2 linked regions of the Neodiprion lecontei genome follow. The main gene of each other region encodes a partner of the protein of the gene in region 2 in a complex. Links are inferred from orthologs where the notes say so. Each region holds a gene or a part of one and is shown on either strand. Other genes may lie near its edges. The genes, in order: translation initiation factor eIF-2B subunit gamma and translation initiation factor eIF-2B subunit beta.

The links.
Region 1: translation initiation factor eIF-2B subunit beta (region 2) and translation initiation factor eIF-2B subunit gamma share a complex: the UniProt entries of both Homo sapiens proteins name them as parts of the translation initiation factor 2B (eIF2B) complex. The link is inferred for Neodiprion lecontei from reciprocal best matches to the Homo sapiens genes EIF2B2 and EIF2B3.

The regions. Positions count from the first base shown.
Region 1 is NC_060263.1:38,050,190-38,056,883, reverse strand, and holds translation initiation factor eIF-2B subunit gamma, read right to left. Parts: upstream 4,710-6,694; 5' UTR 4,423-4,709; intron 3,003-4,422; exon of another isoform or gene 2,935-3,002; intron 2,859-2,934; 5' UTR 2,773-2,858; intron 2,635-2,772; 5' UTR 2,604-2,634; coding exon 1,927-2,603; intron 1,829-1,926; coding exon 1,495-1,828; intron 1,251-1,494; coding exon 1,030-1,250; intron 958-1,029; coding exon 801-957; 3' UTR 717-800; downstream 1-716. Other genes in the region: uncharacterized protein LOC124294107, read left to right, coding at 1-138; rapamycin-insensitive companion of mTOR, read left to right, coding at 5,490-5,544, 5,611-5,658, 6,097-6,253, 6,542-6,694. UniProt on the Homo sapiens protein: Acts as a component of the translation initiation factor 2B (eIF2B) complex, which catalyzes the exchange of GDP for GTP on the eukaryotic initiation factor 2 (eIF2) complex gamma subunit.
Region 2 is NC_060265.1:21,914,239-21,918,512, reverse strand, and holds translation initiation factor eIF-2B subunit beta, read left to right. Parts: upstream 1-1,855; 5' UTR 1,856-1,957; coding exon 1,958-2,025; intron 2,026-2,137; coding exon 2,138-2,224; intron 2,225-2,316; coding exon 2,317-2,598; intron 2,599-2,672; coding exon 2,673-2,829; intron 2,830-2,989; coding exon 2,990-3,514; coding exon of another isoform or gene 3,515-3,527; 3' UTR 3,528-3,624; downstream 3,625-4,274. Other genes in the region: TM2 domain-containing protein CG11103, read right to left, coding at 4,080-4,274. UniProt on the Homo sapiens protein: Acts as a component of the translation initiation factor 2B (eIF2B) complex, which catalyzes the exchange of GDP for GTP on eukaryotic initiation factor 2 (eIF2) gamma subunit.

The sequences.
Region 1 (6,694 bases), on a different chromosome or scaffold from region 2:
CGACTTAAAACATATCAAATTTTGTATAAAATTCCAGAACATTTGTTCTTTTGCATCGATAATATTATTCATGTTATCTGCGGCTTAGTAAATTTACAGCCACCAATTTTTTCTAATAAAACAAAAACTATCAAGTAGAATAATAGAAACCTTTATTCGTAAAAGGTAGTGGTTTTCATTGTGTATTTATTAATATTATATTGCTACATACTACTGGAGTTTCAACTCGTTATTAGTTTCAACTTTTCACTTCACTGTTACAATGGAAATATCACTTATTTGATAATATTTTGCTGATTTGGATATTTATCAGTATGCCTCTAATGTAAATTAACACGCCGGCTATTTAGCTTTTGAAACCGCTAGGTGACGGCACGAGCGAGGCTCACAGCGATCCGCTGCCTGCAGTTGTCTCAAGATGCCCACATTGAAAATATTTTATCAAGGTCCGAGTTCGTAGTCTGGGTATAATTTCAAACCCTATGCCACATAAAGCCCGCGTAAATTTAAAATTTCCCACGATCGTGGACAGTACAATTTACATGTTCAGTCAACGGTGTATTTATCTACTTATATTAGTTTTTTTACCATTTGAGTTATTTTTTTCTACCAGAATGTCGGATGCTAAGCACTAGAAGAACAATTCATGTTTCCGGGGGAATATAGTGCCCACATCATACTACAATATTCGAATAATCAACTAGCAATAACGTATAATTAGAAGTAAACAAATTATTTATTTCGTAGTATTTGACATCATTAAAATACAGAGTTGCGAATAACGTTACTTTCTCAAATCTTTAAATTTCCATTAGATTACCAATATCGGTCAAAACTTCATCAGAATGCCGACTACCAGCTGGTACCGTATGATTGGCTCCTACTATACAATGATTTAGCTCGCAGCCTTCTTCGACTACACTGTCATTGCATAATATGCAATTGTTAATTACGCATCTGAAAAACAGACAAAACAGTGAGTGATTTATTTGGGTTTACTTTATTATTCAAAAAAATGTTTTATATTACCCTTCTTTGACCATAACGTTTTCCATTACAACGGAGTTTAAAACCCTTGTTTTCGTTTCTATAACTGCACTTGTACCAATGTGACTGAGCTTCAGTGATGTCTTTTCACTGATTGATGCATTATAACCAATTGTGCAATTTTCAACTTGGTTGGTTTTGATCATTGAATCATCAAAAAATATCGTTGGCGCCGCTGACAGAATAGCCCACTTTTCATGAATCTGAAAATATAATCAACTTAAGGCGTAATATAATTAGTAGGCTAATATTACTTCAGCCCATGTTTCTGAGATTTATGTTTTATGACACAGCCCCTCAGAGGTCACCAAGAGTGGGAACTGTCGGCACAAAAATTATTGTGCAAAAACCAACAAGCCATAACAGAGCAAATTCTGGATAACCAACTTATATTAATTTCTCAATTATGTAATGTAGAATGCAAATTTCCATAACAGAACAACCTACTACTGCGTTTGCCAGTGCGTACATATGTATGTTATTTGCTCTAAATCCAAATTTGGTATTTTGAATAAAAGCATAACATTTTATCAAATCTTCGTTATAAGCATTCTCCAAATTTGTCGAGTGGTCATTGAAGGGCGACATTTCACTGATCAAAACATCTAGACGTTTTTTCCGTTTGCTCAGAGCTTTGTCCGTTACCAATTTAAATATATCTCTGTCAGTGTTTTGTTTCATGATAGATGTACTTTTTTCTATTTTATTGGGGTTGTGTGTCTGCGCTGATTGTTTCTTGATAACATATGGCAATAATTCACCTTTAATAGAGCTGATGCTTCTGTAAAAAATAAACAAAAATTAATCAGTACTTCGGTAGTAAGGTAAAAATACACTTGTGGCGTTAACTGATCGTTACTCTTTTACTAAAAGACATACTTGTCAATTAGTAGACAATCCAAAATCCATTTATGGATGATATATAAGTGTATATCCAAAAGATTTGAGTTAATATTGAAGTTTGTATGTTTCTTGTACAGTTTTCGTGATATATTTATCTTTTCTTCAAAATCTGATGCAGAGGCGAAAAAAATTAATCGATTAGTTTCATTGTCTATTCCAATCAAATCTCTCTCTGGTTTTGGTTTGCTCTTTGGTCCAGGATTAATCAATTTGTCAGAAAATGTTGGAAGTTGGATCAGCATAGAAATAATGATTGCTGAATGTCTTCTATAAGAATTGAAAATGCCACTTAAATCGATATTCATGATCAAGTCGCAAGGGAGAACAATGATGTCTGTGTAGAACTTCTCATGGATTAATCGGAGGACGTCAGCAGTTCCTAGATCGTCCCCACCTGGGATTCCAACGAAATCACATCTGAGTCTAATATTCAATTTGTCTATAGCTAACGCTATTTCATTTTTCCATTCTTCTTGTACCACAACAATGACTTCCATGAACCCGTTACGTGCTAAAAGTTTTAGGGGATAGTAGAGCATGGGATAGTTTCCAATAGGCAACAAGCACTTGGCTCGACTAGCTGTCAATTCTGTCATTCGGGATCCTTTGCCTGCAGCAAGGACTACAGCTTGAAATTCCATTTGGCGCCACATGTTGTGTCATGCGATTCCAGGTGCAAAGGGTCTGCAATGTATAGGGTTAGATAAATTTTAGTGTTGCCGAGAATTTTACTATAATTAGACAGTACTTCCTGACTTTTCTGTGTTACTTATTAGCTGGCACAAATATAAACACTTATGACACAACCATGTGAGATATTACCTATTACAATTTAATGTGGTCAAAGTAGCAGTTATATTAGCCACTTCATCTGTAGATTAATTTTCTTGGATGTTAATGGAATCAAGCTTAAGAATTCAAAGTTATACGTATCATAAATAACATTGTAGTAAAAGAAAATGTATATCAATTATAAGTACTAACAAAGAGCATCACTTTGGTGTCCTCCTCTGATTTTGTTGCCACTCATGTATGTTGTAGAATACTGAAAACTAAGAAATGTATTTTTTTTTTGAAGTGAAAAAACGTTTTGATCTAAATAAAATGTTACCAATTAAAATCAATTTAATTGCCAAAACCACTCTTGTTTGATCGCTATTACAAAATATTACATTTATATTATATTATATTCTTATGTTGCATTCTTATGATTAATATTACATATATTAACAATCATGGAATGAAAAAATTTTCAAAGGTTACGAGCTTTTAAAGCAGGTATATCAGAAAAATAATATATTATCTGACCACCCCATAGTTAATAATATTCTTATATTGCACCAACATCCTTATCATTTACCAACACATTCAATTTTAACATGTCTTGTATACCATACGATATGTGATTAAAGAATAGGAATCTCTGTTTTATTGTCTACGTGCGTGCGTAAAAACAAGACCCTTAACATGAAAATATTATAAAATAAATTAAATCATATGTATTGAATCCGACTACAAATATTTTGAACGGAAGAATGGATTTTTACATATCATTCATATAGACATAATGCTAATGAATTTGTTCATATGGATCGTTGTTTAAAAACAAGGAACTGACAGTGAATGAGCCCATTTAAAAATTATGCTCTTACCTAGCGTATAAAAAAAGCACGGAAATTTCTCTAACGTACAAATATAAGTATTGATACCCACCCTCACTTGAGGGGTAGTCTATCCTCTTTGCAGAGGTAGTTTTTAAGTATGCAAGAGTGCGCATACACAACGTTCGTGTTTTCAATCTAATGGCATCAGCCATATCAAAATAAATTGGCACATGTTTGATACCCTCCCACATGCCTAATGATTTTATAATGTGATGAAACTTCAACTATGAGCTGACAAATATATTTTGAATCAGCAGATACATTTTAAACAGATGGAAGATGGCATGTGAAGTAAGTTTATGCAGCGGGCAGTTTACTCCCTTGACTTTGCGTTTTTGAAAAACGCAAAAATACATGAACTTCCATTTTGTTTTTTCTATAAAATGGCATTGGTTTCATTCAATTAGGTCCACGATTTTTGAATGGCGAGTGCAAAAAAAATTGAGGGACGGTTCACCCCTCAACTTTATTTATTTTGTTTCAATATGTATGGTAGTCGTCACAATGATTAACATGAAAAACATTTTCAATTTCGGTTCATTGAAATCAGCCGATTGCTTGCGGGTGAAACTGTCAAATCGCCCCTTGAAATGCCTTACTTTGGAGGGTTATTTCACCCTTTTAAACCGTTTTTCCGCCGATAAATTAAATACACTTCTTTTAATTTTCAAGGTTCAACATCATACATGCGTTGCAACGAAATCAGAGGGGGAAACCAGAGTGATGTTCCTTCTAAGTACAAGTATCGATTCTAAGAATTGTGGATGTTCATACAATTTCTATTTCTATCATTTTCAGAAAAACTTACTAAATATGGAGAATTGATATTTTCTTGACAGACAGGTTAACTCATAACTATTATTGACATCACCGAACAATTACCATCTATTTATACTTTATTCTTCCGTGTGACGCTTCCCTGATCGGAAATATGGTGGAAATATGCCAATCCTGATGCCTCTGGTGCCAATGAATTAGTCCATCTGTCTTCGTTTGTTTATACCCGTGGCTGAGGCATTGAAGATAGGTGAAGCCAAGGTATTTTTGTGTAATATCACAGGTGGTATTATATAGTCACCATCTTTATCATTTGTAGGTTAGTAAACAATACTGGTAACGAATGTGTGCTTTCTTTGTAATTTTTGTACGCTACAGCCATATACATACATCGTTTGGGGTTCTTTTTATATCAATTATAGCACGTTTTTTATTTGTCATCACATATTATATCAAATACTTGTTCAACAATATTTTGCTTCACAAATTTCTACCCTATCGAACTGGATCTTCGACGTACGTTGATATGAATTGTTTTCGCTCACCACGTCAGGCATAAATTTGAACTTCACTAGCAATCACAAGCGAGATCGGCTGGCTGTGATTTGTATTTCGGCCTACTTTGGCAGAGAAAATCACAGGATCGAATTAAGTAACAGAAGTCCTACGTCAATATTGATTGTAATAAAAATTTCAGGAATTTTGGAGTCACTCGATTTAGAATAAATTGGTGCAACAGTGCCAATCTAGATAGTGCTGCACTCTGTGTGAAGTTTCCACAAAATACCCTTGTAGTTGCTTTTTACAATAACAGATCGCAGTGTAGCGAAAAGCTTCGATTGTTTTCCCATCTTACTCTGGCACCTATACGTGCCTATGTAGAATTTTTTTTTAGATTCTACACAATCGAAAGTACACTATGTCGAGTTCAACGTCCGTACGTGTGTCACTTGAATCAAATCACACTTGATTCATCAATAATTAAAGCCGTGATAGTACTTCGATGTTTTAAGAATGAAATATCCTTTGTTTAAAGATACTATTAAATGGACGAAAGTATTAAATGTCCCTGTGGATAGCGGCCGGCAGTGAATAGCAATGGCTAGTTGGATGATTCGTGGAAGGAGTTCACGGTCTAATAGATCTCATAAAAGTATGCTCATTTTTCACATATTTTGAATGAACTCATTATCGAAAACTAATTCATTTGTTGCCGCAGGTCATCTTGATGGCGAAGACAATTCCGTGCAACTGGATCTGTCAAAAGGTTAGTAACCTAGCCCTAACCTGTCAATCTTACTTTCGAATGTTATACAACAGTATGTCTAATAATCACAGCAATTAAAATACCAATAATAACAATAACAGTTGAATATCTCCAACAATAACAATTCCCCAGTGTCAAACTAATCTGGAAATTTATTTTCCAACTGTAACGTGAAAACCATAGCACTGGGCATCTCAAACTTACTTTCTTATCACATTCGTCTCGAATTTCTTTGCTTTTCAAAGTCAGATGTGAATATATTATGAACCCTTCAATGCCGGTACTAATTGAAAGTTTATATCCATACTCTTACTTATAGCAACAAGTAAATATCTGGAAAAAAGTAAAAATATCTTGCTCGTCACAGTTCTAAACACTAACTTTACCTCTCTTTCTATTATCACAAATGCCTCTTGATACGAATGATTTGTTTTGTAGATATAAAAGAAAATGTACAAGAGGTATTAACGAATCTATGTCAACGCCAAGGAATATCCAACGTAAGAAAATTAGCTTATCTAAATGCCATTGTGAAATTCATCAGCGAGAATGATCTTGTGGAATATGGGTACTGTAATAAGGAATTATTTTGTTGGTGAGATATTGATTTATGTTATTTGTACTTTATTATTAAATATATAGCATGAGGTATTCTGTAAATTCGTCAACTATCATCCTTTAAAAGTTTTACTTAATTTCACATATGTTATATCTTTTCCCTTTTAAATATCCAAAAATACAATCGTAATGTGAGAACTGATGTTGAAATATACCTTATGATGTAGACTAGTTCCTAGTAGTAAGATGGTTGGCCTTCCTGACTCTCCAAATCTATTGTTAACAATGTTTTGTTTTCTTAAAAATCGTCATTTTTTCTTTACAGTCTTCGTATTGGACTTATCAATGAAGCCACACAAGTCCGTGCAGCAGCCTTACGTGCAGTGCGATATATGCTTAAAAAAGAGCAGGATGTTATTATGCTGAATAAACTACAATATCCATACTTGGTTGCGCGAAGTATGGATTTAAATTTAAG
Region 2 (4,274 bases):
GATAAAAATAAAGTTGTATGACTGTAATCAAAATTGTATTAAACATAATAGACAAGTATAAAAACTCATAGTTTGATCACTATACGATGAGTAAAGTCATATTATAAAATGACTAAAATTTAGTTATGTACTTCGCACAGCAACTATTTGCTGTAACGTACTGCCATCTCCATGTAAATACCATGTATTATATAGAAACGTACTGTTTACCTATAAATAATACTAGCAATATAACTGTATCAAAATTATAGGTGATCGTCCTCAGTATCTTAAATATTTCCCTATAGCTCAATGATTATCGTTGATAAGAAATGAAATTTAGAGAGAGAGAGGGAGAGAGAGATGAAGGAAAACAACAACAACAACTGCGAAGCGTGTTTATATATTATTGATTAATTAATATGATGCATTTGACGCAAAAAAAAAAAAATAATAAAAAAAAAAAAAAAACCTTATCAAACTGATTATGAATTTCATAAAAACTGTCTAGGAAAGCTAAATTTTCGAATACAAGAACTTCTACAACGACCAAGAAATGGACGTTTGAGACTCGCAGTAGGTGAAGTAAAGTATAATAGTAATCAGACATGTTTCGCTCCTTGTTTTCAACTCGTTGTCGCGTTAAAATATTATCTGCGGACTTAACAGGATACGTATCACTGATATCTAGGCACAGGAATTCGATCGAGTTCCTAAAAACGATCACCACGATGTTCCCGTTAAAAGTATATAGGTTACGAATTGTACTATAGAATATATATTTAGGTGAGAATGATTTTTTCCAAATATATATATATTTTTCTTTTCAGCGACTTTGGCAATAAATTGTAAACGGCAAAATCATTGTAACGAAAAACTATACGGCAATGCTAAGAAAAACAAGACAAAGACAACAATTTTAGCTTCGTAAAGATATCCATATGTAGGGTGAGTATAAGTGATGCATGTAGAAGGCAAAAAAATTAAATTAACGAAAAAACTGAATTTAGTCTGGGTATAAACAACCGTAGAACAATGGTATACGGAGAGTAGAAGAACTAAAACTAAATCAACGTTATATAGTATGGCATTGAAAATTTCCAATTTTTTAGATACAAATTAGAATATTAGGGACTGGAGTCTATTCATAATTATAAAAATCAAGTGATAGCCGTATTAATAATTCAAGTATTATACGTATAAACTTTCATGATTTTTCCCCTATAGTATATTACTAAATATTAGTAAATATTTTAGATGTTTAAATTCAAAATGAATTTGTGACTTTCATGAAATGGGAAAGTCTCTATCTACCTGTATAATGTGTTAAATATTGCTTTTATATTGTATGTTTCAGTTCACGTCACCCCGATTTTATAAATACAGGCAAATATTGTTTAAGAATTTTTAATTATATAGTTATTGAAATATCGGAATAGCTCAAGTACTATTATTATATTACATTGTTGGCAGTTTTCCACTGGTAGTGGCAATATCAATAAATGTTAATTACATCAAGGCCGAATTTCATTTAGATAAGTCCCCACCAGAGTCCACTCAATTATACTTAACATTTCATACGTTTCTCATATACCTATATATTCTTATTTTGCGATTTCTTCGAAGAAATCGATTACAATTAACGTCACAACGTTGGCCCTGTTACTACAAATTGCAGCACAGTTGTTCACCAACCAATTTATAGGAAAGTGTTGCTTTGCGGAATTTCAAAAAAATCGTACATTTATTACGATACTCATTTTTCAAGTATTTTGTACTACAAGAAATTTGAATTTAGCGGTAACGACTGTCGATAGCAGGAAATTTTAGTCGGTATCAGTTGTGTGGAGAGTTCTACTATACCGATAGAGAAAAAGGAAAACTAACGTCCGTCGCAGTCGCGTTGATCCAATATTGCCGTGAAAAGTTCTGTAATTATTTTCGATAAACCATATCGAGTAAACTTTAGTGCAATAAAATGGTAGCTGATGTTCCTGATAATATCCACCCTAGTGTGTTAACCTTGATAAGGGATATTAATTACGGGTATAATAAGTATTTCTGAAACATAACCTTCGATTCACCAAACTCTAAAAGCGTTTGACATTATCGTGTTGCAAAATTACTAAAAACTGAACACACTGGTAATTTGTTACAGGAGAATCAATGGTAGTTACAACATCGTAGTATCGACCGTATCGCTATTAAAGAATATCATTAACAATTCAGAATGGAATACCGCGGAGTAAGAATAAATTTTGATAACTTGAGTCTAATTATTATACCAAATAATTATAAATAATTATCCATTTTAATGTTTGCTGTCAACTTCCACAGAGAATTGATGAAATTGATCAAAGAAAATGGAAAAGTTCTGATCGATTCTGTACCGATAGAATCGTCGATAGGTAGTATGGTTCGTAGGATACTGAAAATCATCAGGGAAGAGTACATATCGGAGTTGAAACATAGAACGGAAGAGACGGACCCTCAGGAATCCCTTCATAAAATTCTTACCGCAGGAGGAGATCAGGAAAATGACTATTCCCATTCCGTTCCCTCTCTGAAGTCCGCACTCATCGAACACATTACAGAATTTCAAGTCGAACTGGAAACTTGGTCTGTATTTTATACCCCCGCACATTTGTCTCTTTAATAAATAGAACGTCCATTTCATTCCAGTTCTGTTTCAGCTCGGAAAATATTACCGAGCAAGCGTCGGAACACATTCACTCCAATGAAATTATCATGACACTGGGAAGATCCAGGATGGTTGAGGATTTTTTGAAAAAAGCCACAGAGTCAAGGACTTTCGAAGTCATCGTAGCCGAAGGTGCACCATTTCTTAATGTTTGTATATTATTTCTATTTTGTATCTTTACATTTTGAAATAACATTCATCAAGTGTTCAGCTGTACAATCTCATTCATAGCTCATATTTGAGCATTTTTGTAGCCTTAGATCTATTAATTTACTCTCGTGCATGCTTTGTTTTGCTATTATTTCACAGGGCCACGAAATGGCTGTAAATTTAGCCAAGGCAAAGATTAAGACGACTCTGATATCTGACGTGGCGATATTCGCTATGATGTCTAGGGTAAATAAAGTAATAATTGGAACTCATACAGTCATGGCTAACGGAGGGCTCAGGTCTATCACAGGATGTCACACAGTTGCGTTGGCGGCTAAGCATTATTCTGTACCGGTTACAGTCCTACTACCGTTGTACAAATTGTCGCCTTTGTATCTTTGCTCGTACGAACAAGATGCTTTCAACAAACACGTCTCTCCGACGCAAGGTGTTATAGATGGCACCAATTCTCTACTGATGGAAAAAATTCAAGCCTACAACCCTGTCTTCGATTACGTTCCACCGGAACTCGTCACGTTGTTTGTTACCAACACGTTAGTCATCACTTTACACACAGCTTTCAATGTGTGGCAAATCATTCCAACATACTTTTTTTCTTTTCAGTGGAGGAAATGCACCGTCCTACATCTACAGATTGCTAAGCGAGTTGTACCATCCCGATGACTACGAATTATAATACATTGACCATACGAATATGACAATGAAAACGTAATTAATTTGGTAAAACTAAGTATGATAATCGAAATAAAAACTTGACTATATTTATTAATAAACTATGAATTATCTTGTGTCCATTTTTCACTGTGATGAAACATATGTGGCCAAACAAAGGAAACAAAAAATATGTGTGGAAAGATAAATTCGGAAACTCGGAGATCAAAGTCAGACAAGATTAAACGGATACTGGAAACCGTTTGTATTATATTTGCACATGACGATGGCACGGTAATTGGGATTTCCACATTTAGATTATTTAATGTTGAAACACTATACTTGTATCAAGTAAAATTTGACACAACATGGAACTTGTTTCTACAACCAGATTCCATAGTTCAAGCACAGATAAAAACCAGTAGATTTTTCAGCATAGATATATCTATGTACTATTTGAATTCTAACACGAATTGTTTTTGTACATACATATACATGTATGTATATATATTTATCTAAGTGCAGAATTAGTCAATAGTTGGTAGTTATTCACAATATTTGGGTCTATTTACTATCATCAGACATAAGGATTCCAGTTGCTACCGTCTTCGGGCTGCAGAGAATTGGTCACCAATAAAATAACGTCAACGATCCACCAAACGCCAACACCGCCCAAAGTCAAAAGCTTACCGACGGCAGTTCCCGTTTGTCCTAAGCAAAATCTATCGACACCAACAAAGCCTAACAGAATGCTATAGAGCAACGTGGTAGT